Linked DNA regions of Drosophila melanogaster. The protein of the gene in region 2 binds, or shares a complex with, the protein of the main gene of each other region. Each region holds a gene or a part of one and is shown on either strand. Other genes may lie near its edges.

Evidence for each region.
Region 1: Nup214 (region 2) and Nup107 share a complex: the UniProt entries of both Drosophila melanogaster proteins name them as parts of the nuclear pore complex.
Region 3: Nup214 (region 2) and xmas share a complex: the UniProt entries of both Drosophila melanogaster proteins name them as parts of the nuclear pore complex.
Region 4: Nup214 (region 2) and Nup98-96 share a complex: the UniProt entries of both Drosophila melanogaster proteins name them as parts of the nuclear pore complex.

What each region holds. Positions count from the first base shown.
Region 1 is NT_033779.5:10,732,793-10,739,366, reverse strand, and holds Nup107 (nucleoporin 107kD), read left to right. Parts: upstream 1-3,295; 5' UTR 3,296-3,421; coding exon 3,422-5,594; intron 5,595-5,658; coding exon 5,659-6,023; 3' UTR 6,024-6,074; downstream 6,075-6,574. Other genes in the region: CG12299 (uncharacterized protein), read right to left, coding at 1-1,479; Vha16-5 (vacuolar H[+] ATPase 16kD subunit 5), read left to right, coding at 2,410-2,991; Dpy-30L1 (Dpy-30-like 1), read right to left, coding at 6,145-6,549. UniProt on the Drosophila melanogaster protein: Plays a role in nuclear pore complex (NPC) assembly and maintenance. Required for nuclear import of Mad. Mediates the association between the nuclear pore complex and a subset of active chromatin regions adjacent to lamin-associated domains.
Region 2 is NT_033778.4:22,918,159-22,927,316, forward strand, and holds Nup214 (nucleoporin 214kD), read right to left. Parts: upstream 6,585-9,158; 5' UTR 6,497-6,584; coding exon 6,461-6,496; intron 6,405-6,460; coding exon 6,266-6,404; intron 6,207-6,265; coding exon 4,474-6,206; intron 4,421-4,473; coding exon 4,239-4,420; intron 4,182-4,238; coding exon 3,840-4,181; intron 3,784-3,839; coding exon 2,588-3,783; intron 2,490-2,587; coding exon 1,007-2,489; intron 914-1,006; coding exon 889-913; 3' UTR 779-888; downstream 1-778. Other genes in the region: CG30187 (uncharacterized protein), read right to left, coding at 1-39, 102-250, 308-353, 410-614; ReepA (receptor expression enhancing protein A), read left to right, coding at 8,468-9,013, 9,092-9,158. UniProt on the Drosophila melanogaster protein: Part of the nuclear pore complex. Serves as a docking site in the receptor-mediated import of substrates across the nuclear pore complex including emb, RanGAP and phosphorylated Mad. Protects mbo/Nup88 from proteasomal degradation at the nuclear pore.
Region 3 is NC_004354.4:17,154,843-17,161,062, forward strand, and holds the start of xmas (xmas), read right to left. Parts: upstream 4,465-6,220; 5' UTR 4,373-4,464; coding exon 4,329-4,372; intron 4,265-4,328; coding exon 2,731-4,264; intron 2,671-2,730; coding exon 171-2,670; coding exon of another isoform or gene 136-170; exon of another isoform or gene 1-135. UniProt on the Drosophila melanogaster protein: Involved in mRNA export and mRNA coupled transcription activation.
Region 4 is NT_033777.3:23,774,996-23,784,148, forward strand, and holds the start of Nup98-96 (nucleoporin 98-96kD), read right to left. Parts: upstream 6,627-9,153; 5' UTR 6,170-6,626; coding exon 5,890-6,169; intron 5,830-5,889; coding exon 3,292-5,829; intron 3,213-3,291; coding exon 2,694-3,212; intron 2,626-2,693; coding exon 2,443-2,625; coding exon of another isoform or gene 2,423-2,442; exon of another isoform or gene 2,221-2,422; intron 2,113-2,220; coding exon 1,937-2,112; intron 1,881-1,936; coding exon 1,598-1,880; intron 1,539-1,597; coding exon 527-1,538; intron 470-526; coding exon 60-469; intron 1-59. Other genes in the region: mbc (myoblast city), read left to right, coding at 7,345-7,393. UniProt on the Drosophila melanogaster protein: Part of the nuclear pore complex (NPC). Required for MAD import as part of the Nup107-160 complex and required for nuclear export of Moe probably via its association with Rae1. Plays a role in nuclear mRNA export.

The DNA.
Region 1 (6,574 bases), on a different chromosome or scaffold from region 2:
GTACGCCTGCTGGCTGTACGACTTGCCGCATATGGGACACGGGTAGGGCTTCTCGCCCGCATGGATCTTCATGTGAACACTCAGACTGGAGGCCTGTGTGAAGCACTTGTCGCATAGCTTGCACTGGAACGGCTTTTCGCCGGTATGGATGCGCATGTGGATGTTCAGGCTACCCGACTGCGTGAACGAGCGGTCGCACAGCGAGCAGGTGAATGGCTTCTCGCCCATGTGGTTCTTCATGTGCTGTACCAGCTCCGAGCTGGCGCGGAAGGCCTCGCGGCAGATGGCGCACTGGTACACCAGCTCCTGCGTATGCATGCGCATGTGCTCGTCGAGCAGCGCCTCCGCCTTGAATTCGCGCTCGCACTCCGGACAGATGAACGTCTCCGTGGGCGCGATGTGCGTCTTCTGGTGCAGCAGCAGCGAGCTGTAGTTGATGAATCCCTTGTCGCACTGCACACACTGATGCGGCTTGCGCACCGAATGCGAGCGCATGTGCACCATCAGGCTGCTGGACTGCGTGAAGGCCTTCGGGCAGAGCTCGCACTTGTACGGCTTCTCGCCGCTGTGGATGCGGATGTGCGTGTTCAGGCTGCCGATGTGCGTGAATGTCTTCTGGCAGATGGAGCACTGGAACGGCTTGTTGGTGATGTGCGAGCGCACGTGCTTGGACAGATCGCCGGCGTTGGGAAAGCTCGCCTCGCAGTGCGTGCACTGGAAGCATTTCTGGTTGCCATTCAACGCTGGATCCATCACGGGTGCACCGATGTTGCTCCGCCTTCCGCGCCGCCGCTTGATGGGCGTCGATTGCAGGCCCAATCCCGGGCTAACAGTGGGTGCCGGTGGTAGTAGCTGCTGCAAGGGCGTGACGCTTACGGTCGGCTGCACCATGAATATGGAGGTGGACTCCCGCGGATCTGTCATCTGCAGCTGGAACTCATTGTAGCCCGGACCGGCAACCAGGCCGTGAAGTGGCTGCACTGACTCCTGGCTCTGCTGGGTATTGGAGTTGCTGGTGGTCGGCACCGAGCTGCTTGATGAGCTCGAGTTGCTGGAACTCGAACTGGAGCTGCTGCTGTCGTCGTCGTCATCGTCATCGTCGTCGTCCGACGACGAGGAGCTGTCGGAGCCCGAGGAGGCGCTCCCATCCGACGAGTCGCTGCCATCCTCCGCCAGCTCGCACACCGGCTCGAATATCCAGCTGTAGTCCTCGCTCTCGTCGCCCGGGCTCTCCTGCTCTTGCTGTCCATTGCCCGGCTCATGGGGGTGCAGGGTGTTCATGTGCTGGTACAGCGCCAGCGGATGGACGAAGAACTCCGCACAGCACATGCAGTGGAAGGTGAGATCCGGCGGCTGTGGCTGCTGCGGTTGCTGCTGGGGTGGATTGGGTGCCTGTTGCGGCAGGAGGTGCGTCTGCTGCAGGATTGGCGTGATCGTCAGGGGCAGGTGGTGGTAGCTCTGTTTCAGCTGCACGGCCATCTTGCCAAAAGGCTGTGCAAATCAAACAACAAAAATCACAAGGAACACAAGCGACGAGCGTGTGAACATTTTCTCTATAATAAAAATGCGCGTTTGCGGGGAGAAAAATCAATGCCGTACCTTGGGTGAGATTAGATGCGAAGTGCCGTGGATCAGGGGTTCCGTAGACTACTATTATATCACTGGTGTGTGCTGTTGCTCAGGTTCCGTGCTTTTGTGTTTCTCTCAGGGCTCTCGTCCACATTCGTCCACTGCGTTCCATTTTATGCGCCGCCAGCGAAATGCGAATAACTTGCTTCCTGTTTTCGGTGCTCGCTTGTTTTTGAATTTGGCTGCTCGGTTCCGTGGGTCGCCGGAATCGCGTACCGTCCTCCGACCCGTTGTCTGGTTAGCTGCGACTGCCAGGAGCTGCGACTCGAGCGAATGCAGCGCATCGCCCAATCGCAATTCTGCAGAGCCAAAATCGCAATTGCAAGCGTCTTCGCCGTGCGTACAACAAATAAAAGAAAAATGTTTTATGTTGGGCGGCCCTTGCACGATTGGACGGCAGCATATCGTCATGCAAGCGTTTCGTGCACGTCGCCAGCATGATGACCGATAAACCGCGCAGCTTCAAATTCAAACCGCAATCGATTGTTACATCTTTCGAAGGTTTTAAACATTTAATAATATTTAATTTAATTTCGAGTGCCTAAATCTAAGCAAGTTTTATTATTAGTGTTTAATTTCACTTAACAAGTTGCTAAAATTATTGAATTGAGCCCTAACATCTTAAATAATATTAATATTAAATATAAACTGCTCATCTCGTTCCCCTTGGATTTTCTTTCTTGCCAAACTACAGGCTAGTCAGACTAACAAGTTGGAAAATCCAGAAAGCAAGCAACGTGGATCGTTCCTTTTCAAGTAAATACGAAAAAGGCTACCAAAATGGAAATGGATTACTATCTGCCAGTGTATAACGGATCAAATTCGGTGGACGTGCCGGGGCTGATTGAAAGTCTCAAGCTGAAGGAAACCAGTATATCGCCAATCGTGCTGGATCGCTATCCGCCGTACTCCCCGTTCTATGGCGTGATGGGCGTCGTATTCTCCAGTGTGCTGACCTCCGCTGGAGCGGCCTACGGAACTGCTGTTTCCGGAACTGGAATCGCCGCCACAGCGGTGATGCGTCCCGAGCTGGTGATGAAGTCCATCATTCCGGTGGTCATGGCGGGCATCATTGCCATATACGGTCTGGTGGTATCCGTGCTCCTATCTGGGGAACTAGCGCCTGCTCCCAAATACTCGCTGCCCACCGGCTATGTACACCTGGCCGCTGGACTTTCGGTGGGATTTGCTGGACTGGCTGCCGGATATGCAGTGGGTGAAGTCGGCGAAGTGGGCGTGCGGCACATTGCCCTGCAGCCACGCCTCTTTATCGGCATGATCCTGATCCTTATTTTCGCCGAGGTGCTCGGTCTCTACGGCCTGATCATTGGGATTTATTTGTACACGGTCAACATTAAGTAGCAGAATTTGTTATATCTAAAATATTTAATTCGTTAAGAAACGTTTTTATCGATCTTTAATATTTGAAATGCCTTTTGAATTTCTTTACGCGATTGTGGTACTCATTTCAGGTACGCCGTTGCGGTACGCGATGGAGGTACCCCATACTAATGATTCTACGGAATGCTGGTACCTTATTCTTTAGCAGCTTTGCCGAATTACTAGATATGTAAACAATTTAAATCAATTTGTTTCTTACGAAATTTGCTTGAATTCAGTGAGAATCGCTTATTTACAAGTGTATGTGCAAGGGAGCTTTCTTGCTGTTCCGTCATCTGGTAACACTGAACGCTCCCGGCATTTTTAGCGAATAGCGCGTGAATTTCTGTTTTGATTAAATTAATTGAATTGATGTGCCGTAGCTGATAGCCAAGAAACGCATAGTGCAGCCATGGCCGACAGCCCGTTCCCGAGGAGCAGCCGCAGTGGCCTGCTACGCACGACGCTGAACAGCTCGATGCCGCCGCAAAATCTCTCCCACTCGCTGCTCATCCTCGAGAAGAGCAACGCGGAGCAGAATGAGCTCTCGCTGATGGAGGACACCGGCGATGATCTGGATCGGGGCAAGAGCCGCATGGACGTGCTCTTCCCGCAGTTCTTCGACGTGCTGCAGGCTCAGGGTAACGGGCAGGAGGCATTCGAGGTGATCCAATCGCTGACGCAAGTCTGTCGCGGCGTGGTGGAGCAGCTGGAGCTGGAGATCGATCACGGCATGGGTGGGGAACAGGGCGCGCGGCAACGCGAGTCTATGCTCACCTGGCTGCGACAGGAGATAAACACGTGGCGCCTGCTGCACGCCCTCTTCTACGACCGCATCCTGCTGCAGACGGACAGGCAGGCGGATGATGAGATGCAAGATGGCCCCACGCTCGGCGGCAGCGAGAAGGAGGTCATACAGCAGTTGTACGCCCTCAATGCGACGCTGCGTGAGTACCAGCTGGTGGTGGACTGGCTGGAGGCGTGCTACGACCGGGGGGAGCAACAAAACCCACTCCACGCCCACGATCGTATGATGGCGTGGGAGAACACGCTCTTCCAACTGGAGAACCTGCAGGGCGCCGCCTTTGGCAAGGGCCATAAGATCGTAACGCGTCTGGATCCAGATGCTCCCGTACGCGAGAAACGACCGTTGCACGCCCTCGACGAGGAGGACAACCTGCGCCTGTCCCGCGCCATTTTCGAATTGATACGAGCGGGACGCGTCGACGATGGCCTCAAGTTGTGCAAGCACTTCGGACAGACGTGGCGGGCGGCGATCCTTGAGGGCTGGCGTCTCCACGAGGATCCCAACTTCGAGCAGAATGTCTCGGTGCTGCACGAAAAGCTGCCCATCGAGGGCAATCCCAGGAGGGATATCTGGAAGCGCTGCGCGTGGATGCTGGCCGATTCCAAGAACTATGACGAGTACAGCCGCGCGACGGCGGGTGTCTTCTCCGGCCACTTGGGCTCGCTGAAAACCCTTTTGCACAGCAACTGGCACGATTTGCTCTGGGCCCATCTGAAGGTGCAGATCGACATCCGTGTGGAATCGGAGATACGCGGCTGCTGCCTCAAAAACTACCAACCGATGCCCGATGATTACTGGAACGGCAGGATGACGATGGAGCAGATCTTCGAGGAACTGAACGTTGCCAAGGATGCGTCGGTGCGGGATTTCGCCCAAAGTCAACTGGGCATTATCCAGCGTCATTTAATCCTGGATACTTGCGGCGAGCTGATCCAACACATGGTGCGCTGGGTGGAGAAGGATACCTCCCAACAATCGCCCCATCAATTGCGCTTTATGGCCCACATAGTGCTCTTCCTGCGTCAAATCGGCCGTGTGGAGCAGGAGCGACAGGCGGAGAAGATCGTAGCCGCATATGTGGAGGCATTGATTGCCAGGGGCGAACCGCAGCTAATAGCCTACTATACTGCATCGCTTTCGAATCCGCTGCAGGTTCAGCTCTACTCGCGGTTTCTGGAGCAAGTGGAGCAGAAGCGTCCGCGGGAGCTAGCTGTGGATGCCGCCCTGCAGGCGGGCTTGGATGTGGAACAGATCACACGCGTCACCGTGCAGAATATTCGCCTCGCACATCAGCCACTCGGGGAATTCGGTGAGCCGCAGTCCGGCGAGATCTCTGCAATCGATCAGCGCAAGATCTCAGCATTGGAGTGGCTAATCCATTTGCCGGAGCAGCGCGGTGAGTTGCTGTGGCAGGCCAACGCCATGATACGCACCTATCTGGCCAGCAGCAAGGTGGAGTGCATGCGCCAGACCTTCCGCATGGTGCCGGCCGACATAGTGCAGCAACTAGTCAGCTTGTACGGCTCGGTGGACAACATACCACCGCGTGAGGAGTGCTGCCTGAAGGAGTATCTCTGCTACAAGGCGTATCTGTCTGGCGTCGACAGTTTCGTCGAATGGAACCGCCTGCAGCAGAACAGGCCCAAGAAGCCACAGACTTCACACGCAGCTTCCTCGCAGGACAACTTCACGGAGCGCATGGCGAGTGAGCGCAAGGAGCAGGCTCACCGATCGGAAGTCGTGCGCTGGGAGCACAAGGTTAAGGAGCAGGCCAAGCGTAAGTGGATCGCATACCCATTAATGAGATCTTTTGGCATATAACCCGCATTCTTTCCCTGCAGAAACCATCGAACTCCTGTACAATGTGCTCATGTTCCCGGACAAGGGTTGGCTGGTGGATCCGTTCATCGCCAAGCTGCCCGAGAACGCCGTGCAGCTGAGCTGGGATCATCGCCTACTGCAGATGGAGAAATTGCGCTCCATCTGCATTCCTGAGATCGCCCTGTTTCTGAACGAAGTGATGTTCAAGTCGGGAGACTTTGCGGGTTGCGTGCGCCTGGCAGATGAAATATCCAGCGAGAATCGGCAGTTGTACAAAGTCTATACGAAGCACAAGCTGGCAGAGCTTCTGGCCAAGATCGCGGACGCCTCCCTGGAGCTGCTCAACTCGAAACTGGATCCATGGGGCTATCCTATAACAACTTAGCAATCCTAGTACATTTGTGTGTTTTGCGATTACATTCTAACTTTAAACGTTTATTATTTATTCACTGTTCAATTATACAACTAAGGAGGGGGACAAATGGGAGGTAGGTAGGATGGAGGGCTTAGGAGTTGTTGTCCACGGCGGCGGCGGAGGCGTTGTTCTCGTCGCACCCGTTGCTATGCTTTAGTAGGTAGGAGGCCAGGAACTGTATGGGATCCGTGGGCCGTTCGCGAGCCAGGGCCTGCATTCCGTGGAGCAGAACCGGCGCCACCGTCTGGTCGAGGTACTGTCGCGTGGGCATGTTGTTTGTCTCGCTACTGGGCTTCTTGGCCACCGCCGGCTGCTGTTGCTGCTGCGCCACTGGATTTGTGGACTGGCCAACGGCAATGGCTCCGGATGGAGGAGCTCCCGGCGCAGCGGTCGGGTTTGCTTGCGCATTGCTGCTTGCATTTGGCTCCTTGCCAGCTTCTGCCGGCGGATTTGTTGTGGGCGCTGGTGAGATGGGTGCGTCGGTCTTGGCCTCCATGGCAATGTGTTCCTTTTGTTCAGCA
Region 2 (9,158 bases):
TACTCTTGTTCAAAACGATGCAGATTGGACGAATAAGGGCTGGAAATAGTAAGGTATGGTTTGTAACACTTTCTGGGGGGACGAACAAATCAATCACTTGCCATTAAAGATAACGTCGCTGGACAGCTTTAGCAGGCCAATGTCATTTTCATAGGAAGCACGAACGTCAAACGAACTATGCACTACTGCTGTTATGACGTCTTTCCGATCTGCAGGATCACTCTTGTTGTAGGCACCCAAACTCACTGATCTGTTAATATCGGAATGAGAATCATCTTCACTTCAAAGTAAATCAAATTATACTCACTGGACGTCTTGGTCAACTATGCAATGCGCAGCTGTCAAAACGAATCCTAAGAAAGCAATATTTGTATTATTAATTAATCTCGTTCCGTTGAAATATACAAACGCTTATGAATCAGCGTGCCACCGCAGATAAAATGTGTCCGATTGTGTACAGCTGCCATCCAGACAGAATTTTGAAATGCTGCATTATGCCCGCCGGTGATTTTGAGTGCGATATTGATTCCACAGATCTGGTCCAAGAAGATTGAAGCACCCACATCTTTGAGGAACCAAAAAATGACGGGAATCCAAGCCAGACGTGTCTGCATCTCATGAGATGTTCGAATGAAATAGGTGATAACCTTAGCATGAGCATAATACCATAGCAAGTATTTCATAAAAAAAGAAACCCTTATCATACTAGACTATAAATACTAAATAAAGTTCAGTACACACATTTCGCGTGAAGTAAAAACACAGTTTTTTTTTTTTTAATTTTAATAAAGATTTAAGATTTAAGATTTTTAATTTTAACTGGTATTCTTATTTCATGAAAACTGAACAAGCAAAACTATTGAGTTATGCAACACATTTATTATGAACTCAACGATAATTCATAAAGCTCGATCTGAAATAGTAAAATTTAATATTTCGTTAGTCGTATGCATTCTTGGAAATACTTATATAAGTATGCATATGTATGTATGTCGGTCGAACTTACCCGCCAAACGCTGGTTTCTGTGCATTTGAGTTTCCAGTCTGTGCTAGATTTCCGAAAGAGAGTCCCGATTCCTGTCCCCCCAACGTTTCAAAAATGTTTCCCTGTGCCGGCTTTGCAGCAGCACCAAAGGGTGGAGGGGAGGCTACTGGGCTGGCACCGCCAAATCCACCGAAACCCTTCGGACTGCCAAAGGTGGCACCTCCCCCAAAAGTGGGGCTAGCTCCAAAGGCCGGGGATCCACCGAAAACGGGCTTGGCTCCAAACCCACCTGGTGTCGTAGTTTGCTGCTGCGGGGCTTGTGGTGAGCCAAAACCTGTCTGGGCCACAGATCCACCCCCGCCCTGGCCAAATCCACCACCGAAGCCCCCCTGAGCTGGTGTCGTCTGCGTGAAGGAGCCAAATCCACCAGAGCTGCTGCCACCCCCAAAGATCGATCCGCCAGATGCGGGCGGAGCTGTTGCTGGTGATCCGAAAATAGAGTTTCCTCCGCCACCAAAAGGAGAAGCTTGCGGACTGCCGACGGGATTGGAGAATATATTCCCACCTGCTGCCGGTGCAGCCGCTGATGATTGACCAAACACTTTTTGGCCAAAAATTGAAGTACTTCCTGCAGCCGGAGCGCCGACTGCGCCCTGCGTATTACCTCCTCCAAAAATTGAGCTGGATCCAAAAGGTGTACTGGCGGATCCGCCACCAAAAATAGATCCTCCGCTATCGCCTGCTTGTGCTGGTTGTCCAAAGACACTTGGCTTAACAGCCTGACCAAAAATGTTACCGCCAGAGGCTGGTGCTCTAGTCGTGGGACTACCAAACGGCGAAGGGTTACTAATCGCGGCCGATGCAAAGAGACCCGCTGGTGGTGCATCTGGTGTTGCCGCAGCCGTGGTGTTTGAAGGAGCAGTTGTAGCTCCTCCGAAAACGCTGGTCTCCGCCTTAGGTATACTGCCAAAAATGTTTGCACTCGAAACTGGACTTTTTGCAGCTGACTGAAAGGGACTAGCCACTGGAGCCGCTGTTGATGTTGCTACTGCGAAGCCACCACCAAACACTGAATTCGACGAGTTATTGCCTGTAGATGTAGCGGTTGGGCTTTTGGCAGCTAAGGGAGCTGAAGCGCTGGTAGTTGGAGCTGCAGCACCTCCCGCACTTAGGGTGCTAAATGCGTTTGAGAAGGAGAACGCACTGCCGGGAACAGCAGTGCTAGATGTTACCGTTGTGCTCGATGTTGCCGGAACTGCTGCGGTAACTGCCGCAGGAACTACTGCTGGACTAGACACAGTCGTCGTAGCAGTAGTAGTCGAAATGGCTGATGGGGTGGTTGAAATAGGATCAGTTTTGTTGTTCGCCTCCGTCACACTTGTGGGAGCTGTTGCCACTGGTTTGGTACTGCCGAATAATCCCTTTGAGGCATCAATCGTTCCGCCAAATGAAAAGCTACCAGCGGATAAACCTCCTCCAAAAATGTTGGCTGGTTTGGTGGTATCTGCAAAGTAAAAGACATATATAGCCGTTTAGAGTTTATGCCAAATAAGCGTATACATTTATGCGTAAGGTATATTGATAAAGGAAACTATAGCTTACCTGCAGGAGTGTTGGGCTTGCAGATAGTCACAGAGCTAAAGAGGCCTCCAATAGGATCCGTGCTGCTGGTCACTGCATTTGTTGTGGTGACGGAAGGAGCATCAGTTACGCTGCTCGAAGCAATTACATTCGTAGGCTTGCTGGTGATGGTGGTTGTGTTGCTAGTGACCGTGGTGATCGGTTCAGAGTTGGATGGTTTCGCCAAAGCTGCTGAGAAGATGCCAAATGGTGCAGTTGAAGCTGATGTGGCTACACTAGTGGTTGCTGTGCTGGAAGGTTCAGATTTTGGCACAGCAGCGGCTGTTCCTCCGAAGCCTAGAGATGAACCCAGTCCGCCAAAGCTGAACGGGGAGCTGGAAGTATTTCCGACAGTACCTCCAGTTCCTGTAAATCCTCCAAATCCAAAGGATTTGTTTTCCGTCTCTGCCTTTGGTTTTTGGGGTACTTTTGACTCTTCTGTTTCGGGTTGTACCGCCTTGAATTCTTTGCTTTCTGCTGCTTTCTGCTCTTTGGGCTTAGTCGGCTCGGGTGTTGGTTTTTCGACCGCTGACAACGGGTTTGGTTTTGGTGTAGGAGCTGCCACGGCTGGCGATCCTGTTCCGAATGAGAGTGCCGACTTGGCAGCACCACCACCAAAACTAAAGCTGGAAATAGTACTGCCGCCGAAAATGGATAAACCCGGCTTGGCTGCTTCGCCAGGAGTCACAGTATTTGTCGTTGGCGTCACAGTAGATGTCTTCACAAATGGGATGCTTTGGCTGAAGGAAAATGGCGTAGCCACTGGAGTTGTCGGATGTGTGGGCACTCCAGGCTTTTCCACAACGGACGGTATAGATGGCATTGGTTTAGGCAGCGGAGGAGCCACTGTAACAGTTGCTTGTGGCATGGGTGCAACAGCTGGCGTGGGTGCAACATCTGGTGGTGAAGGCGGAGCGACTGCTGCTTGGGTGTATTTGTTGGCTGTTGCAGGCTTGGCTGCTGCCCTTTTAATTTGCTCCGCCCTACGTTTCGTTTCCAAAATAACCTCCGACTTGAGCCCCACTCGATCTGGTCGCTGGGGACAAATAACATTGATCTTCTGCAGCTGAACAATATTACGGATTTTTTGTAGTCTTTCTCGAGTGAGCTTGGCTGCATTAGAGTCCACTACCTGGCTAAGACTCATCGTGAGAATGGAGTCGGTCAATGTATCCACTCTAAATAAAAAAGTTATAGTCGCATAAAGAGAGAGGTCACAATAACTTCTACTAACGCTTCGTTGGTGCGGGTGCGACTTTTCTCCTGGTCGAGCAGTGCGGCCTGAAGCAATCCGCGCTCCTTCAGTTTGGACTTGATGTTGTTCTGTACAATTCGCTGGTTAGAAGTTAGATTTTGTAGTCTTGTCAGTCGTTGATAGATTCCCTCTAGGCAAGGCATGTGCATGCGAGACTTCGAATTGCGCCGCACAACATCCTGAAACTGTTCCCACTGCAAATCGACATGCTGCTGGGCAAGACGCAGCTGGGCCTCATTGGCAGCCACGTAGCTCTGAAGACGAGCTAGCATGCGACGGCCAGAGGGATCACAGGAGCTTGAGTTCATTAAACGCGTAATCCTAAACGAAAATTACGGGTTTTAAATAGCTTATATATTCAAAGAGTCCTTTACCCACTCTGGTTTTCTATAAATCTCCAGTTTCCCGCGGCACTCTGCTACGATGGCATAGGCCTCATTAAGACCCTGTCGCAATCCCTGTACATCTAACTCGAACTCCACATCCTTGGCTTGTTCATTGAGCTCTTGGAGGTCATCCAGTCTCTTTGCGTATGCCCTCAAAGCAGATGGTGCTGCAATCTGCGGAATAACAACTTTAATACATGAAGCAGTGTAATACCAACACTACTTACGCCTTTGAGGAGTTCCTTCGTCTGTTCCTTTTGCTTTTGGATATCCTTGCTAAAGGCTTCGATTTGTAGGGCAATCATGTCCTTGATAATAGGCTCAGTGTCATCAGGCTTAAGACTTTCATCTGCGATTTGTGGAGGAGCTGAAGTGGCTGGTTTTGTGTCCACTGGTGTGAATGTTAAAGGAACCGTGTACAGTGGTTTGTTTGCTGGAGCAGAAGCAGGAGTTGCGGGTACTGTTGACCCAGGTGCCGCTGTTCGGGGTGTCACACTGGCAATAGCCGGTTTATTCAATGCCATTCCCCCAAAGGCATTTGCTCCTGAAGCCGAAAACATGCTTCCCATGGCAGTAGTCGTTGCCTGCGTGCCAAACCCACCAAACGGTGTTGTTGGCTTGGCTGCATTGGTAGTTGGAGCACCAAACGAAACCGGACTAGAAGTCGGAGCAGTACCAAAAGATAGTTGCGGAGCAGGTGCCTTAGCTGCAGCTGCTCCAAAGCCAGAAAACAATGATGGTTGCTTATCCTTCGAGGGAGCTGGGGTTGAAGTAACGGTATTCGGTGTAAATGCAAAGGATATGTCCGAGGAAGCAGCAGGAGTTGCAGCTGGAGCCTTGGAGGGACTGGCTGCCCAAGCTGGCTGCTCTTCTTCCTCACTAGCAAGCAGCATATTCAACGGCTTGAACTGCCCAGAAGTATCGGCCACTGGAGGAGGTGGCGAACAAACAGACACCGCCGTCGGCAGCACATTAAGAAAGTTGAACGAGAGCAATTCTCCATCCGAACTCAAAACATGAACCATGGGCATAGTCTGCAGCTTCTTCTCATTTATCGTCAGCTGGTGCGTTGTAGAAGTGTCGAAGGCAAAGCCCAGCGGGAAGGTCTCATCCTTGTCCTCACTTAGGGGCATTTCAATGCGTGCCTCATCCAGCAATGTAAGCTGCTGCCAAGCGGGTGTATCGCCGGCCTCGGTTGACCGCATGATGCCCACCTCTACGCCATTGGCCGAGACTACGAGCAGCAGATTCCACTGGGGCACATGGCTAAATACGAACTGATGATTCCTCGGGCCGTTCATGCTATAGCAGATGTCATAGTAGTTTATGTAGCTGGGCGCACCAGCCTTGGGAGCATTTAGAATGTAAAGCGAGGGGCTACAGTCCTCGCCATGCTGGAGAAAGATCACTGCAAACTGGAAAGTCGACAGCCACTGTATAGCAATGGTGTCAAAGGGGGCATCATGTATATTCGGAGGACACAAAAGCGTCTTGGCCAGAGTCAGATCCGGCTTGAACTGCTTCACCGTGCCGCCGGGAAAACCAAGAACGATCTGTTTGCCCTTGGGCGACCAGCAGCCGCACTTAACTTGTTGATTTTTGTCCAGCGAGTGCATTTCAAAGTTTCCCCCCTCCTTCAGGGCATACATCGCGAGCGCTCCGTTGCTCAAAACAACGGCCAGGCTGTTGGGCAGCACGGGATTCCAGAGGAGCTGGACGCCGTGCACGTGATCCTCGGCGGCGAGGCGAATATTATAAACAGGACGTACATCAGGGGTCATGAACGATAGCACCGCATATATGCTGAGCAGGCTGGTGCCGTTCTGGGTGTGATTCACGGCCAGCAGGTTGCCATCGGAGCTGCAGGCAATGTAATTCGGAATACTGGGCAGTGGCACCAGACGCGCCTGCGGCTGTTGGGCTGTGCTCTTCGCATTGACCAAATCCTTTACAATAATCACTGCAAGGAGTGCCAGGATAAATTTATATATTTAGCCTAGCTAACTCAAGCTACATTACCTTTGAGTTCCGGCTGCGTTGGACTCCCGGCAAAGAGCAATCCCCGGCTACTGGAGACCGCCAGCAGGTTCACATTGCTGCGGGGCTCACCGCATTTTTTGAACGCAACAATCTTGTGGTGCAGTTTGAATTGAAAGTCCTGCGACCAAAACCAATGGAATGTTTGACATCTCAGTGCTATGCAATTGTGCTTACCTGCGTGTCCTCGCAGTCTGGTGCATTCTGCGCCATTTTTGTCTGTTTTCGCTCCTATTTCGCCAAATTTTTTGCGGCTTGTCGATTTCCCAATCGAGTCGATGGTGTGGCTGCAAGTTGAGATCGTTGGAAACGTTGGCAAGCAAAAAGCGCGCCACTTGCAGTACGGTCACTTTCAGGAAACTCACCACAAAAACTCACCACCAAAAAATCCAACAACATATACAATACAATCTGATTTAAATTTCATAGATGTTCCTTTAAAAAGAAAATGGGATAAAATCTTATATAAAAATAGTTTTCTCCTATAACTAACTGATGAACTTGTTAACTAAAAGAAACCAACTTAGCTTGAATTAAGTATTCACCAATCTTGTCTTAGCGGTTGACCATATGGCAATTGCACTTTGTTGGTATTTTTTCAGACGGTATTTTGTTTTGGACAGTATGTGCGAGAACGAAAATTTCAGCACATCGCTAGCGCAGCAGCCTTGTTGTTGTTCGTCTGTCTCTGTCCTACAAGCGTTTCTTTTTGTTTGCTGAGAATTAAACAAAAGCGATTTGTTCGCGGGCAATGCGAATGCATTTGCAAAGCAGGGCACAAAGCATCGGCTGTTTCGACTGTGATTGCACAAAGCCATGTAGTAGAGGTCGAGCTGGCGATTCGCAATTATCCACAGGCGACGCAACACGGTGCTAAAAATTGCGTAGCCAATTAATCTCGAAATCCTTCGAATTCAATCGCAGTTACCAAAAAGTAAATGAAATTTAAATCGACTTAAACAGAAATCTGTGGATTTTATTTCGATATTGCCCATAAAGTACCCCAAATCACATAATTTACGGAAAAGTCAAGGAAATTCCAGGTGAAAATTGGGGTTGGAAAGGAGGCCAGGATAACGGAGTGGACTCTAATTAAATACCCTACAGTTTTCCCCTAGAGCAGCCAGGCGACGCTCAAGATGATCAGCAGCCTGTTTTCGCGGCTTATAATGTGAGTAATAACCGATTACTACTATAGCAAATCCCGACTTCATAGCCACCGCAAGTGAGTGTGAGTGCGAGTGAGAGCGCTACAGCTGCTGACCCCCAAAAAAAAACAAAACTAACTTTTCAAGCTCGGCCTTCGAAAGCGAGAAAAGCACCTACGAAGCCCGTCGTCGTTTCCTAATTGTGTGGGCGTCACGCTTCTGATTTCTAAGTTTTATACATTTCCGTGGTTCCTCGATTCGCTGATTGCCGGATTGTTTGTTTATTAATCAGCTGTCGCAAAGTACCGTTCACTTGTGCGCGAGTGTGCGCGGCCTGTGTGTGTAACCCTCGATTGAACTCCTAATTTGGAGTTGCAACTTTCCAAGCTTCTGCGTCTCTGTGTTCCCGAGGCCGACGCACTCGCCTCGCCCGATTTGGGTGCAGAACATGTGGATATAGCCTGTCGGCGACCCGGCGACTCTCTGTGACTCCGCTATTGTTGTCAATATTTATAGATCGCAACTCGACGCTTGCCCATAGTGTGGCACAGTCGCGGCCAAGTAGCTAGCACCTCATTTGTTCAAGCACACAATACCTCCGTTAGCATTTTCCATTATGTCAATACATCTTAACTTCGAACTAGACTTTACTTTTGATAATGAAATTAGTAATCGGTTCAAATCAATAACTAACATCATAGTCAAGATATATAGTTCTTACATCTAAGGAATTAAATCGAGGCGATTTCTCCCATTACTCGCTAAAGTATCCTTTCCAAATTAAAGATTCAAATATCTTGATACTGAGGTGCTATTTTCTTGAACGCCTCTGTCGCAACATTCGGAACTGCGGCGCATTCCTACGTGTAAACATTGAGTGCTCCTCTGTTGCTGGTTCTCTCTAGACCCGATCGTGGGTTTATTAATAGACCTCTCGCCTGAGCGTTAGACGCCGAGCTACGGCAGTCTCTGCTCGGCGTTCTAGCGGCCAGGAACTATCTGCGATCCGTGCTGCGGGCAATGCATCCCCGTTGCCATGAGGCCAATCTATCAGCAGGAGCCGCCGCTCTTCTACCAGCGGCCAGCTAATCTCCGCCGCCTACGTCATCCGCCGGGCACCGTCTACGGACGCAGTTACTCGCTCGAGGACCAGCCAGAGGACGTGATACCCGTGTATCCAAAGTTTATCTACGCCCCACAACAGCAGCAACAGCAACAACGGGCCCCATATCCGCTGTATCAACTGGGCGACTCGCTGAGCTCGCTGGACAGCGATTTTCCCGAGAATGAGTACGCGGGTGCCTACATAGTGGAGGATCGAGTTCCGCTGGCCAACGCACCTACTCCCAAAGTTGTCCAGAACCTCAATGCGTTGGGTCGAATGCTGGAGCTGCTGCAGCGCTGTCCTCTGCCATGCCTCTCCTTCAACACGGCCTGCATCTGCTCACTGATTGTCATATTCCTTGCGCCTCGCACTTGTGCCCAGAGTTTACTGTTTCCCGCTTTCAGATTGTTCTGCGGCACCCTGTACCCGGCATATGCCTCATACAAGGCCGTCAGGACCAAGGATGTCAAGGAATATGTAAGTATCTGAACACGTAACTAAAAACCGTAGCGAACTGAGCTAAGGTTTATAATGTTCATTCATCTCTCGCCTCAGGTTAAATGGATGATGTACTGGATTGTCTTTGCATTTTTCACCTGCATAGAAACATTCACGGACATAT
Region 3 (6,220 bases), on a different chromosome or scaffold from region 2:
ACCTAATCTAGATGCAGTTTAAGATCTAGCGTTGTCTCATGTTACAATTGACAATATAATGCTTAACCACATATATTAAAACTACACTTAACATTTATATGATACAAATAAGAGAATAACTACAGCAGAACGTGACTACTTGGATTTGGACCGCTTGCGCTTGTGCTTACTGGCATGTTTGTGGTCCGATGCGTCTCTCCTCTTCCTCGACTTATGTGACCTGTTGAGCTCGCGCAGGGTGTGACGCTCATCCTGACGCTGGTGAAACCTCTTCAGAACAGCCTCAGCCTTGCTCGTAATCTCGTCGAAATCCAGTTGTTGCACCTCCGCTTGTGATGATGGCTGCTTCTCCAGCATCTGGGCATTCTCTTCGGCGGGAACGGGCTCGTAAATCTGAGGCTCACGAAACTCATAGTACCATGCGCTCAGGAAGCGTCTCTTCAGCGTTTTCGTATTGTACACAATTCCTTGGGGCGGATTCCTCTCTTGCCGCAGTATGTATTGCATTCGTTCGCCAGCGAGATATTCCACAAAGTTCAAGTAGTCATCCGTGTCGTATTGCAGAATTTTAATGGCCTGGAGGGCGATCTGTTCCACGCAGTCTTCCTGCTGACTTATCTGCGCGTAGTCCAACACCCACTGGCATTGGGCTTCGGCCAGGGATGAAGACCTCGGCAGTACCGGCATCTTTGGAAGTTTACAGCGCTCCAAAAGCTGGACAATACGCTGACGTCGCTCGGGCAAGTGCCAACCGGGTTCAAAGTGCTCCAAGCGATTGGTGTTTAGTGATGATTCGATGGGCAGTGGCTGCACAAAGACACGCAGCTCCTCGGGAAACTGGGGCCAGTCGCTTAAATCCTCGCCGGCTACCAATTGCAGGCGGTGCACTGCCTCGTTAAAAAGGTCCACACAACGCTGTGGATTCAGCTGAGTGTCGCTTCTAATGGCCGTATCGTGCTCAGCGGCGTATTTTAGGCGGCGAAATAGTTCCGATCCCAGATTAACGAGCAAATACTCGCGGGTCTCCACTTGGTGAAGATGTCCAACACGTTTCCTTTCCGTGGCTTTGGCCAAAAACTTTACAGCCGATTCCAGTGCAATCATTAAGCGCTGGCGGTTGTTTCCAGATTTTCGCAAACGAAAGATGTTAAATGAGCGCAGACATAGTTCCTGGAGAGGAATATCAGGTTGAACAAAGGCGGTATTAGCTGGATGCTGAACAATTACAGCCACATCATGACAGCGGCTTGCTTGCAGCAATGGTTTCAAGCGATCCGGCAGTAAACGAATGTCATCCAGCCCGATTAAGCAAATAATACCATTGGCTTCGGCCAGGTCGGTGGCTTTCCAGTCGTGGTCATCATCTCGGATCTTCATCACACTCAAGCCAATACCCTGAGAGAAGCCTCTGATGTAGCCTCCATCCACAAAACGAGCATCCGGCGACTGTGGCTGCTGCAGTAGTCCCCTATCCAAATCGCAGTTCAACTGGAGACCCTCCTGGCCGCCGGACAGGCTTATCAATAGCTTGTAGAAGCGTCTAGCTCCTGGTTGCGCTACCGGCAGACACTTGTCCAAAACGTGCCACAGATCCAGTTTCAGCCAACTATGCTCCTCCAGGCCAGCCAGAAGTTTGCCATAATCGCAGGGCTCGCCAAGTCGATAGCGTCTGCTTAGACGCAGTGAATCTTCCATGCTTCGTTTGTTCACCACTCCTTCGGGGTTTTCGGCTCCAAAACTTAAAGGCAGTTGGTTAAATAGCGTGTCCTTCTCCTGTTGCGTTCGCCGATATTTCCGCCATCGTCTGATGCACACCCTCATGACGCCTAGTTCGTAGATGGATTGCTCCATCTGCCGCTCGACGAGATCGCGTGTTATTGAGTCCAGCATGGATTCGTAGGAACGGCAAGCCCGACTATGCGACATAAACTCGCTTTGGCAAATCTCCGCGAGGGTGTCCTGGAATATTTCCTGATACAACTCCAAAGTCCTGGTCTGTTTGTGGGCCTCCCTTTCCTGCTGCTGCACAAAAAACAACTGTTCCAGTTTCAGTTGCCTCTCTTTTTCCAGCTGAAGTTTCTCCTGCTCCCGCTGGCGTTGTTCCTCCAGTTCCTGCTGCTGGCGACGCTGCTGCTCCTGGCGTTCCCTGAGTTTCTGCTGACGCACTCGCTCAGCCTCGGCCACTTTGGCCTCGTGAATAGCCATTAGCTCAGCTTCCCGCTTCTTTGCAGCGGCAATGGCTACTTGGAGGGCCTGATGCTTGGCCTCTTCTTGTGCCCGTCGCTGCTGTGTAGCCGGAGCTTGTTCCTGGAACTCCTGAGCACGTGATTTGGGAAGAACAAAACTGAATCCATCGATGGAGGAGGCTGGCGGAACAGCAGCCGCAGCAAATACTCCAAACCCTGCTGCCGTTCCGTCGGGTTGCATGGGCACCTTAAACAAAGTATCGCTATGTTTTGAGACTGCTGGTGGCTGCGAAGGCATTTGTGGCTGCATCTCCTCTTGCTGCATGCCAGCCAGCTGATCCTTGGCCGTCCATGCAATGCTCTTAAGCATTCCATAATCGTCGAAGCTATTGTGCGGTCGGTGATTGAGGTAGAGGTCTCGTGGTGGTAAAGGTTCCCCACTGACGACTTCGCCCACGCTCTTCACGCGTTTCACTTCCACCAACTGGAAGTGGATAATAAAAATCAAATTAATAAAACAAAAAAAAGAAAACCATTTACTTACCTCATACTGTCGCGGCAGCTTGTACTCCGTCTCCACCGTGTGCATTCTGCTTAGCACAACTCTGCCCGCCTCGTTGATCTGCAGGCCATAGTGTTGGACAAAATCCGCCGCCTCCTGTTCGCTGGCAAAGCTCAGCAGCTCGGCGATGTAGCTGAGAGGCAGCGAAGACACCTCATCCTTCCGCGGAGACCTATACGCCTGGATCAGACGATGCAACCCCAGCACGCGCAGTCGCGTAAAGTAATTGACTAGGATGCAGGCACTCAGGTAGCTGGTATCCTTGTCAGCCAGCAGCTGAAAGAACCGCACAAAATTCGTGTCCTGCAGGGCCAAGTAGAACTGAATGGCTTGACGCACTTCGGGACAACTCTGCAGTTCCGCGGGCAGCTGACCGATGTCCCAGAGAAAGTTGGCATCGGCCAGATTGAGCAACACAATGTAGCCCCGGAATTCCGCCTCTTTGGGACATGGAACGCCCTTAATCCGCAGGTCATGGTACATGTACTTCAGAGTCTGCAGGCATTTGGTTAGATTCTCGGCGTTGATCTTGCTGTCAAAGACGCTGGGATCGGCGTCAACCAGACGGGCGGCGCAATGAATGTGAAACCGGGCGCACTGCTCCACCAGCTTCACAGCGCCCAGAGAGCATAGCTCCTGCTGGGTGATCTCCTTTCGGATGGACCTCGTGCGATCCCAAACGAAGTGGAACCAATCGCCCATATGGCTTTGCGGATCCTGGCGCTCGCTAATGTCCATGATCTCATGCATTAGATAGCTCATGGTCATGTGCAGGGCAGTCTCATTGCGCAGTTCATGCGGCAGTGGCGTCTCCTGGTCGGCACTGCTGCGCGAGTACTGCTTCAGGGCTCTTTCGTGACAGATTAGCTCATCGGAGCCCGGTTGTAGTTCATAGTAGGCTACCTGGCGCTGGAATTCTCTCAGCACGCGCTCCTTTTCCGGACACATATCGGCGCAGTGACCCTGGGTGGCACCGGACAGCTTGTGTTGCGTTCGGTTCAACCGGAGCAGCTTATCGCGGGCATCCAGCACGCTGAACTTCTCCTCGCTTGTATGGGCGGGTCTGCGCATCATGTTCTCAAGATCCCTGAGCTGGGCAGGCGTACGATCTCTGCTCACCGGCGCCGTTGCGGGCCCAACTGGTATGGCAGGCAGCATTGAACTGCCACCGCTACCACTGCTGCCATTTTGTGGTTTTTTTATCGGCTTGCCCGACCCATACTCATTGCGCCAGCCCGACTGCAGTGCACTCAACTCCGCCTGAATGTCAGGATCCACCCACTCCTCCGTTTTCTGTGCCGGCGCCGTCTCGTTATCAGCATAGGATATATCAAACAGGTGACCCTGAAAGCTGGCGCCATCGAGAAGCGCCCGCGCCGCCTCGTCCTCGCTGGCATAGCTTACGGTGCAGGTCATTCGCCGCGGACGCAGGACGAAGTTTACGAGGGTTCCAAAACGTCCAAAGTGCGAACGCGCCACATATTTGTCCAAAAATAGCTCCGGAATGTTTCTGCATCTGGGGATTCGTATGGAACTATAGTTGACATCGCTCTGCCTTTGATGAACGAACTTTTACTCACAATAATGTCTTGTAGTTGTAGCCGCCGGGACGGGGTTCTGCCATCGATCGAATATAGTTTAAGGTTTTTAGTTTCTTTTTTAGCTGAATGAGAGCGAATGTGTGCTTTGTTGTTACAATATTGCCGTCAAGCGATTGCCGGTAATCGATAACGCAAATCTGAAAATGGCGCGAAAAAAATACCGCAATGGCTATCCCACCCACACAATATCGTTCAGGTTTAATTGAAAATTTTAATGTTTTACATTCGAGATGAATGTATTTGCCTAATAAATAAAATGTTAACAGGAGTTGGTAAACATATATTCTTAGGAAATTAGGAAATGCTTGGGGCGTTCCTTAAACTGTTGAATGAAATCGAACATCTTCTTATATTATCTTATATATATATGAATATATATATAGGTGTAGCAATCTTTTTAAGTTCTTTTTATTCTCTTTTAAGCTCTCGATTCAAACTCCTCGATCTTGATAACACTATCTGTCGTTCTTAGGACTATACAATTAATCCTATCGAAATTGGTTGTTCCTAGTATTTTATATTTATACATAGCTTACATAAGAAATATTTTCATCTTTACACTTTAATATTTTAAGACGATTAATTACCTCTTAATCAATATCTCTATTTAATAGGCTGACTTATATAAAGCAATGCAAATTCAATAAAACTTATTGCAGAATTAGATGGCATTTAGCCCAATCCCTGATTTTAAAATAAGCGGGAGATAACGAGCAGTAGTGTGACCGCCCAGTAAAGTATAACCAAATACCGCGAAGAAGCCAAGCTGCTGTTCCGATAGTATCGATGAGCCTGCCATCCCCAGAATTTTGGTCATTTGTTGTTGCTCGCCAGGGCGAATTCGAACTCGAAGCGCAGTAATCAACGCGCTGCTCGTGGATTTTTTTTGCATTTTTTTGAGTTCAAATAGTTCGTTAATAAGAGTGGCGGTCAACGATACTATTCCACTTGCAATCGAAATATGAATAGTTGAAAGTGATAAACAACAAGAAAGAAGCGACGCCAACGGGCGAAAAAGGAGATAACCGAAAACGAAAAACACGACAAAAGCAACGTTAAAAGAGAGTAACAGAAAAGATATAAAAACGATGATCGAACCGTAAATTTAAAACCATGCAATCTACAGCGCATAATATATAATAATTTGACCAAAACAAATGCCAAGTTTGCGAGCGAGAGCGAAGAACGTTAAAAAAAGAAGTAAATAAATGATCTTGGCCCGCTGTTTGTTGTTCTTGTTATTATGGTTGCCGTTGTTGTAACTCGTTTTTTTTAATGCGCGCGTGTATGAATCACACAAACACAACAAAACAAACAATAACAACGATGCCTTACGGTGAAATATGCTAAGTAAATAGCAAAAGAGAGTTCCAGTTTCCAGAGAGCGACAGAGAGGGAGAGCGCGCGAGAGCGACTACAAGTACATACTGGAAAGCGATCCCGATCCTTTTTCCAGGCACGCAGCCATCTCGCTCGCACCCATGCCGCCCTAGACCAACTTTTGTTGCAGCTGCCTAACAACCAACAATACAGCAACAACAAGCGCACTGTGCACGCGAAAGGAGCAACAAGGATGGCGATAGCTGGAAAGCGACGACGATGATGATGATGCGGTCGTAACAACAACAGCAACAAGAACAACAAAAAGCTGCTGCAGGCAGACGAGCATAGCGTTAAAAAAAAGTAGCTGCATACAAAATAGTAATAGGAAAAAATCCGAAAAATTCGAGAAAAAAATAAGTTAAAGAAACGATCGCCCAATTTAATCAAGTGCATATATGTGTGTGCAAAATAAAAAGTGCATTGCAGCAGTCAAAAATACATACTTATTATCGCAGATCGAAGACGATAATAGTTATTGTTAACACGAA
Region 4 (9,153 bases), on a different chromosome or scaffold from region 2:
AGTTTGCAATGACAATTGTTAGTAATCCACCGAAATAATTCTTATCATAAGGAACCAACCGTTTATGATGGCATCAGGAGCAATGTGTTGGAAGATGACATCGTGCGCCGTAGCAAAATGTTTTGCCTTTAGCAGATATTTGGCTTGAAGGTGATGCTTTCCTGACGCTCCCGCCTTTACCGCCTTCGCATAGTCCACCCACGACATCGGAATACCAAGCTCTTCGACGATAAAGCGCTCTTCCGCATATAGAGCCACCTTGGCGGAAACGCTGACATTCCTCTGTAGCATTTGCTGAACTGCACGTTCCCTCTGGGTCTGCTGCTTAATATGCAAAAGAACAAAGATACCCCACTGCCAGAGGCCTTCGTTCTCCAACTGGCTAGCGAAATCCACCGAAAGACGAGCCTCCGTTAAGGGCGAACAGTGACGGTAGCCAAGAGCTCGCAGAGTTTGCAAGAGCAGCCAGCTAAAATGATTTGATATGATTTATTTTGCACTGTACCAAAAAATTCTTTTAGCTCACCTCAAACGAAAGTCCATGGCATCGGCGGTATGCGTTATAGGATTGAGAGTTTCTTCCAGGGAATGCATACGTTTAGAGTGTAACTGGAGCAAGTGGTAGCGCAAATCGTAGACGGGCTTCTTGGTGTCAGTAGGTGCGTCCCTGTAGCTGGGCTTTGGGGGCTCCGCATAGCACTCTTCCGCTTGGAAGGCGTCGTTATAAGCATTGAGTGCATCGGTGATAGACGATGTTGGGGCTGTGAAATACCATAGCTGCAGGGCCAGTGCTGTCAGCCAGTTTTTATTCTCGAGTAAGTTGATGGCCCCATGTGAAGACTGCATCATTGGCGCTCCGGCGGCCAGCATGTACATCTTAAGGCGCTCCAGATCGATATACTTATCCGACTTGCTCTGCTGCCAGGCAAAGAGCTGCTCCTCCATTAATAGCCGGAAGACAGCTCCGGAACTTAATTGGGACAGCACAAGAGCCAGATTAGCATCATCGTAGCTGAAGGCCAGCTCACAAGCCTCATTTACGCGATGGCAGCTAAGTAAATCCAACATGTGCTCCAGGTAGCTGTGGGTGCTAACTTTTTTCGAGAGTAGATCTTTGCCCAGCAGCGTGTTCTCAAGCCACTCGGATAGCAGATTGCGCCGACACATGACCATGTAATGAGAGTTCTTTTCCAGGTCCACCAGTTCATCGTGATCGCCCCATAGTGCGAATAAAAGCGACCACACTGACACGCTATAGTCCTCTTTTAAGCCAGCATTTCTCTGCTTAAGAGACTCGGAGAAGTGCTTGGAAACTAGTTTCGTACCGCTATCGGGATGTATACACGGGCACTCACTACCCTCCACATTAACTGAGAGGCAGTCGTTAAGCTGAACTTCGAGATGGGGAATGATACTTTCTCGAAAACCCTCGTTGCCTTTGACCATGTTAAACTCCACCAACTGCATTACACTGGGCGACAAATCGGTGGCCGAGCGCGGCGCAAATACCATGGAGACGGGCAGGGATGGTCCAGTAACTGAAGCAAAGGGAAATTATTATAATTGGACTGCTACAGCTTGTTTCAGATATTCTTACATTCTTTTAGGTTTTGCATGTTATTATAGGTGCTTGGCAGTACCAATGAGTTTTGTGGACCAAAACTGAGCTTAAAGCTGCGTCCTTTGTAGAATCCCAAATCGGCGATCCAATTATCGCGCATCTCATAAGCGATGGACCTGGGTAGGGGAACCGTGGTGGCACGCAACTTAATCGGAGCCACTTTGGGCTTACAGACAAACTTGAAGGCTTTAGTGACAGGCATTTCAAACTTCGTTTCTTTTACAGCTGCAACAATGCTTCCAGTTGCCATCGACGATGTCTGAAATTGATCAGGATGTTTATTGGGCTTCAAAGTAAAAGGTTACGTCGATATACCTCCTCATAATGTGCATCACACATCAGGCTGGCCTCAGAGACGGAGGAAGAAATCGGCAGAGCGGGCGATGGGTGTTCAAAATCGTACTGACTGGAACTCTCGGAGGCACCATCTTTCCAAACAAGAGGTTCCACGTTGAAAAACTTGCGATGACGAAGAAGACGCCCCGTAGTCTCTGTAGAAATTTATGAGTAATTTTCAAATGTATAGTGGCCGTGTGGGATGATAAGCAGTGAATTGTTGTAATTATAATGAATTGTTGCCAAAGCAGGCAAAATGAATTGGATTTACTAACACATTTGAAAGCTTTATTAACTTTATAATTTGTGCTACCTTTTTAAACATAAATATATATATATAATACTTTTTGCAACGATCAAAAATCATTAAATATCGTTGATAATTAACAATACATATTTGCTCAAAACTAACGATTAACATTTAAACATCTACATATCTTTTACTGTAAGCAATTTGAAAGACCATCAAGAGATTATCCACCTACCCATGGGTTCGTCCTCGGGAGCATTGTCCTCCACAAAGAAGGATGACTTCATTAGCTGCATTTTGTGCGCCTCGTTGCCTACCATTTCCTGAGCCAAAACAGCTGTGGGACTGGTAATCGTTGGACGTTGACGCGGTGGATCAAACATGGAGAAATCGGAGTTGCCACCAGCTTGGAAAAATTCTGCGAATTAAAATTAAGTAAATTACAATTAATGAAACTAAACCTTTTAAAATGGACTTTAGACGTACGTGTTTTGTCCATTAAAAGGAACTCGGCGGTATCATCCATTGGCCTGAATCCGCTGGCAACACCTGCGACCAAGGCTTTTGGGTCCAAGTTACGGGCTGCATCTTCTGAAATCTTCTGCGCTTGGCGCAGCGAATTGAGCGTCATCTTTTCTGCGTTTGCCCGCTGCTGAGCCTCAAGCGTTGCAATTTTGGCTTTTTTCGGGTCAGTGGGCAACTCGTCCTCTTCGTCGCTGTCTCCCAGGCCATATTTAGAAAAGTGCTTGACGCGGAAGACCCAACTACCCGTTTCCGGGCGGTATTCTATAAAGCGCGTATCGTTTTTATCGCACACCCGGCGCAACTTGCCCTCCCAGTCCATCTCAAGCAAGCGTTGTGGGTCCTTGATGGCTTCGTGCTTGGTCTTGTCCAACGGCCATACTTGGTCCAAAGTGACCTGGGCGTCACGGTTTAGACCTTGACCAATGGGCGGCTTGTTTTCGTCGTCGGGATAAATGATAATCTCCTTGTTGCGAAAGTGGACTGTGATACAAATTGTTTTGCATTAAATAAATGTATGAGAGCAAACACAAACGGTTATAAAAAAACACAAGACTCTTACCAATCTCATCGAGGTTCAGGCCAGCCACATCCATTTCCTTGCCGAAGAAGACATTGCCGTATCCTTCCCGACCCACCGTAAAGTTCGGAACCACACAGGATCCGTCCTCGGCCAGATAGGAGCGTAGGTCGTCTAGCGATGGAATTGTATAGTAACCCACGCGTCGCAGCACAATGCCTGTTGGATGTGATTCGTCGTCTGCTGCCTCTGCAGCAGCTGCCTCAATGGCTAGGCGGGATTGGTTTGCTGCAGAGTCCTCTGCCTCATTAGATCTGTTCGAAAGCACACTCTCATTGGCCTGCTGCGAAGTGAAGGTTTCGCGACGTGCAATGGTGCTGGATTGATCCTCAAATGGATTCTCTGGGATGGTTGACACCGAGAGGCGAACGGTGGAGGATGGTCGGTATGTATCTAAAGGTTTACGTGGCACAAGCTCGTTGAGGGTGCTGTTATGGGGCGATCCCTGATCCATTCCAGTCTGAATGTTGTGCTGGCGTACCTTCTCAAGGTTGTTAGGATGCAGCCATGACTCACGGCGGCCGTTATCCTGACTTTCCCGTCCATTCGTTGCTCCAGGCGAGTTTCCAGCTGGTGGTAGCGGCTCACTTGGAATGGCTCCGCTAAACGACTCGCGTTCTTTGTTGGGAGTTGCGCCTTTGGGTCGAGATTGGGGCGTGTTGGGAGCACTGCCAATAGAGCTAGAGGGATTTCCACCCTCTACACTTTTTACTTTGGGTTTGATAACTAATCGTTTAGCACTGGGCTTCAGATTGAAGCCCTCTACAGAAGCATCAAACTCCTCGAGACCATCAAACAGCGATTTTCTATTAAGTGTGCTGCCCAGCGCCTTTACCTTCATTGGAGCAGGATTGTTGCTGGTACTTATCTTGTACTGGTTGCTGGTCAGGTCCAGAACTGCTTGTTGGGCAGCAGGATTTGTAGCTCTTGTTGCATCTGCTTCACTGCTTAGCTTTAGATCCTTGAAAATCGGAGAGTCTCCGTAGGGAGAAGTTACCCTAGCTAGGATCTGCTGATGAATGGGCTGGTGTGAAGGCGTCATGATACCCAGTGTGGGCTGAGCTCCCATAATACCACCAGTTAACGAGTTGTTTGTACCCATACCGAAGCCTCCTCCGCCCAAGGAACCACCGACACCTCCGAAACTGGTAGTTCCTCCTCCAAACAGTCCTCCCGTTGGGGCAGCACCCGTGCCACCCAAGGTTGTAGTACCTCCTCCAAAAAGACCTCCTCCCGGCTTGGCTGTATTTCCGAAAAGTGATCCGCCCGTGTTGCCTGCGTTGAAATTAAGTGGTGCTGCGCTGGTGGCTCCAAAACCTCCGAATCCGGACGTTGCTGGCTTGTTCAATCCCGAGTTAAAAAGGCCTCCTCCCGTTGCTGCTGTACTGGTGTTCAGGCCAAAATTTGAAAACGGAGTGCTAGCCGTGGAGGTTGCGCCGAAAGTTGGAGCAGCAAAGCTAGTGGCGGGCTTGTTTCCGAAAAGGCCTCCGCCGGCGGTGCTTGTTGCTGGAGCTCCAAATCCAAAACCTGTCGTGGCTGCTGATGCAGCCGTTCCCAACCCAAAGGCTGATTTATTTGGATCGGCGGCTGGTGTGGCACCAAAAAGAGTTGACTGTTGCGTTGCTCCGGCTGTGGTTCCAAAGCCTCCGAATCCTGTGTTAGTCTGTCCGAAAGCAGGAGCCGCACTGGTAGCAGGTGCCTGACCAAAGAGGCTTCCTCCCTGTCCAAAAGCAGGCTTCGCCCCAAATGGATTTGAAGCGTCAGCTGCGGGAGCGGCAAACGGAGTGGTGGTGGTGGCTCCAAAGGGCTTTTGCAGAAAGTTGTTTTGCTGGGTTGCTGCTCCGAATGCATTGTTAGTCGCCGGTTGTTGGCCAAAAGCGGTGGTGCCAAACATGCTCTTATTCTCGGTCACAGTTTGGCCAAACAGACCTGTGCTTGGTTGGGCAGTGCTTCCAAACAGGCCACCACTTGCAGGCTGAGCGGGCTGAGTAACCTGAGCTCCAAATCCAAAAGCTCCCGGAGCATTCCCAGCCTGTGGACCCTTGCGCCCGCACATATAGTCTTCCAGGCGGAGCTCCTCCAGAGATTTGCCCTCGAACTCCTTCATAGCCGTGATGCAGTGCTGCTTAGTGTTCACACTATTTGCCTGACCGCTCTTCATCAGGGTATCTGTACCAATGGTTGGCTGGTACTTGGCCACGGCCGTGCCCGTATTGACTCCGGAAGCTCCCACGGCCGTAGCCTGAGGTTGGGCAAAGGCGGAGGCGGTGCCACTGCCAAAAACATTGGTGGTTGTAGGCGCCGACGTCCCAAAGCCTCCGAATCCTGTTGTACTGGTGGCGGCAGCCGGTTGGCCAAACAAAGAGCCCGTGGGCTGAGCAGCAGCTGTTTGCCCAAAGGCCGTCATAGTCGGCTTGGCGGCTCCAAAGGCGGGTAGCGTCGATTGTCCAAAGAGGGAGGTGCTTGCCGCCGTCTGGGTGGATCCAAATATGTTCGAGGTCTGTTGCGGCTGCGAGAAGGCTGCAAAGAAGAAATTACTAAATTAGTAACATGATACCACTTCAAATGATCGTGTCTAACCTCCAAAAGCCGTGGGCTGAGCTGTGGCAGTGCTTCCAAATCCCGTGGACGTGTTTGCCCCGAATAAGCCTCCGGCGGGCTGAGCTGGTGTGGCTGCCGCACCGAACAGTGACTGCTGCGCGGGTTGGGCGGCAAAGGTGGAGGTGTTTCCAAAGGCCGGTGCGGCGGGTTTGCCAAATGCCGACTGGCCAAACGGAGTGGTTGTTGTGGTGCCGCTGAATCCGCCAAAGCTGGTGGCCGCCGGAGTGGCTCCGAAGCTGGGTTTCGCGCCGCCAAACATTTTGCTCGCTGCTGCTGCTCAGATAACAAACATATACTAGGTAGATCCCCTGCTTTGTCCTTCGCCGGAATGCCAACTATCGCGATGAGCAATGCTTCGATTTCACCACGTTGGGCAAGCTGGGGCGGCTGCGCCGGATGCGAAGGTTGTGGGACCGGACAGGCTTAGCTTAAAACAAATAAACACTCGCGAATTTGTCAAGTCAGCAGGAGTCGACCGAGTCTGACGCAAAAAGTGGACAGAAATGGCGCGCCGATTTTTTCACGATGTTGAAGAAAATGCAGCCAAAAGTGTGACCAAGGCGTGAAATCGCATGCAAAAATACACTGTAAAAAAGCAGGATACAACTGCCAGGCGCATAACTATTGACCATAACTTATTTATGGTCTTAATAAAATTTTTGCTTGGTGCCTCCGAAGCAAATTTACTATGAATGTGTGGAAAATGTATTTTATAACTTGGGTTTCTCGTATTTTGTAGGTAAGCTCGATTTTCACATTTTTATGTGACCGTACTGCGAACAAAGTGAAAACCCATTTGACATCAACGGTGTGAACACGCTGTAAGGGGCACTCTATATTTGATATTTTCGATTGGGAACAGTACGGTACTTCTGGGCATCGAGCACGCTCATTCACAACAAACAGTTGAAACGCGCGGGTTGTTTTCCGAGAGCGGTTATTTAATTAATTGGCAACTGTCACACACGAGTGTGTGTGCGATCGAGTGCGTGTACATGTGATAATTAGCTGAGCGGCAGCGGCCAACTCCCAGCCCAAATACAAGTCGAGAACAAAACGAGCGAAAAACGGCGCAAAATGCATTTGCGGAGCGACAATTTGTGCGGAATGCTAGCTTTTGTGCAATAATTATTTATTGGTTGCAATTGTCCAACCGGTGTGCTTTTCGTCGAAATCTGTAGCGAAATCGGAGGCGAAATGCTTGTGTTGGCGGCATTGTGAAAACGAAATCAAAATTTCAACTACGTGTTGCTCTTTTGCCGTTGCCTAATTTAATGTCTTGTTGTTTTTATTTTCGCAAACGAAAGTCCATCGCTTTGCATGTGTGAGTAGCGATCGTTTGTCGCCGTGTTGGTGGTAAAAGTCGGCGCAAAAACAACAATATCAGCAACAACACTAGTAGAAGCAACAACAACGAGAAGAAAAGCCTTCAAGATGAGTGTGTGGAGCGACTGCAATGCCAAGCAGGCAGAATTCGGCATTGGTAAGTTGGCAATGCGGCTATTAAGCCGATAAATTAGGTAGAATATGGCTAGGCAGGAATGTTTAAACAAAGTGCTTTGTAAACAACAATAAAGGAAAACTTTATGAACTGTTGGGCGCTCTTTTCCAGAGCACACCTCATCTCCACCCCCACCTCTCTCTCTAACTCTCTCTCTTATTTCACCGCATGTGTGTGCCTCCTGCTGCGTTGCTACGGTAAAACTTGTTGCACCTTCTCGCTTGCACACGCTCACTCGGCTGCTGTTGATCCTCCCTTTCCCGCTCTCACTGTGTTGTTTCGTTTTTCATTTCATTTCATCCTGCTCAGTCAACACTAGCATAAAATTCTGAGATTTGCTCTTGAAACTAAAACCTGTTTTCTATTGTCTCTCTCGCTTTTCATACTGTCTCTGTCTCTCACGTGCAACTGCAACACACTGCCAGAAAAAAGGCCTGGTACACATAAAGAAATTTTATACAATTAATGTAATTTTACATAAACTTAAATCTGAAGTACTACAACATTAGTACTACAACTTTTACGTATTTACGGGTGTGGGATTTGAAACCTGGTCTTTGTAAACCCAAGGCAAGCTGCATCAAGCTGACAGTAGAAATGTTTATTTTCTGTGTACACTGTGAGACAAATCCCAATTCAATGGCAGTGACCATGAAATATCTAATCGCGACCCGCTTCGAATGCGTGTGAATTTTTTATGGATCTCGTTTTGTTGACCTTTTCACCGCTGATCAATAGATACGACAGGTACATAAAGTACAGGTACCTCTAGTCCCAGGTAGATCGAGTGGAACTGGGAATCTCGTTCGTTAACACTCGAATGGAGCTTGCCGGTGTGTTTGCACTTGTTATTTACACACGTTTGCCTCTGCCTCTGCCCTTTTTTGTGTTTGCGCGTTTACTAGCTGTCGAAATCGCTGCGAGTACGAGTATCTGATAGTACCATTGGGGCGTGGCCAGGTGGACGGGGGTAGTGGGTGGTGAGCGGTGGTTGGTGGTATAATGTAATTAAGCGCGATAATATTTGGAATATGGGGCGGCAGATAAGTTAGTCGTTGGCATTGAGTAGCGAATTTGGCCTTTGTAATGCGAAAACGACTTACAGCATATACGAAATTCAAAAGAAACTCCTTATCAATAGCAGTTTGATGTATTCTTGTCTTATCGCTGTTTTCCATTCTGTTTGCATACCTTTTGTTTGCTTCAATTTTCAAATTCTAAGCAAACAGCCGGTTGCCCCACATTTTGTAAAAATTTTTTAAGCCAAAAGATTTGCTTGGCAGCTCATCCATTTTGCGTATTATTTTCGAAATATTGTAGTTTCTCGAAGGCAATAGCCATTGAGTAATCGCTTTATCACTTTATGGGCCCCATTCGAGTTATCGTTTATCGATGTGTGCCTGTGCTTGTGGGTGGCACTCAGCTGAATTGAATTCCGTTGAAGTGCGAGTGAGTGAGCGAGTTAAAGTTAAGTCCTCGGCCTCCTGCATAGCGGTAGTCACTCGCATATAAAAGATCTGGTGCATACATACATATTTTTCGTATGCTGTTCCCACTCACTCCTTTGGATGAGAATGCTGCATCTCCCTGCTCACTCACCTCCATGCACAGTGGGATGATTCCTGAAATTTACCTGAAATATATATAAAAGTAAACCAAGCGAATAGCCACAAAATGAAGGGATGTTTACTCATAAAAGCTAATTAACTTCCATCAAAAAGGCTTTTCAAATTTACAATTAA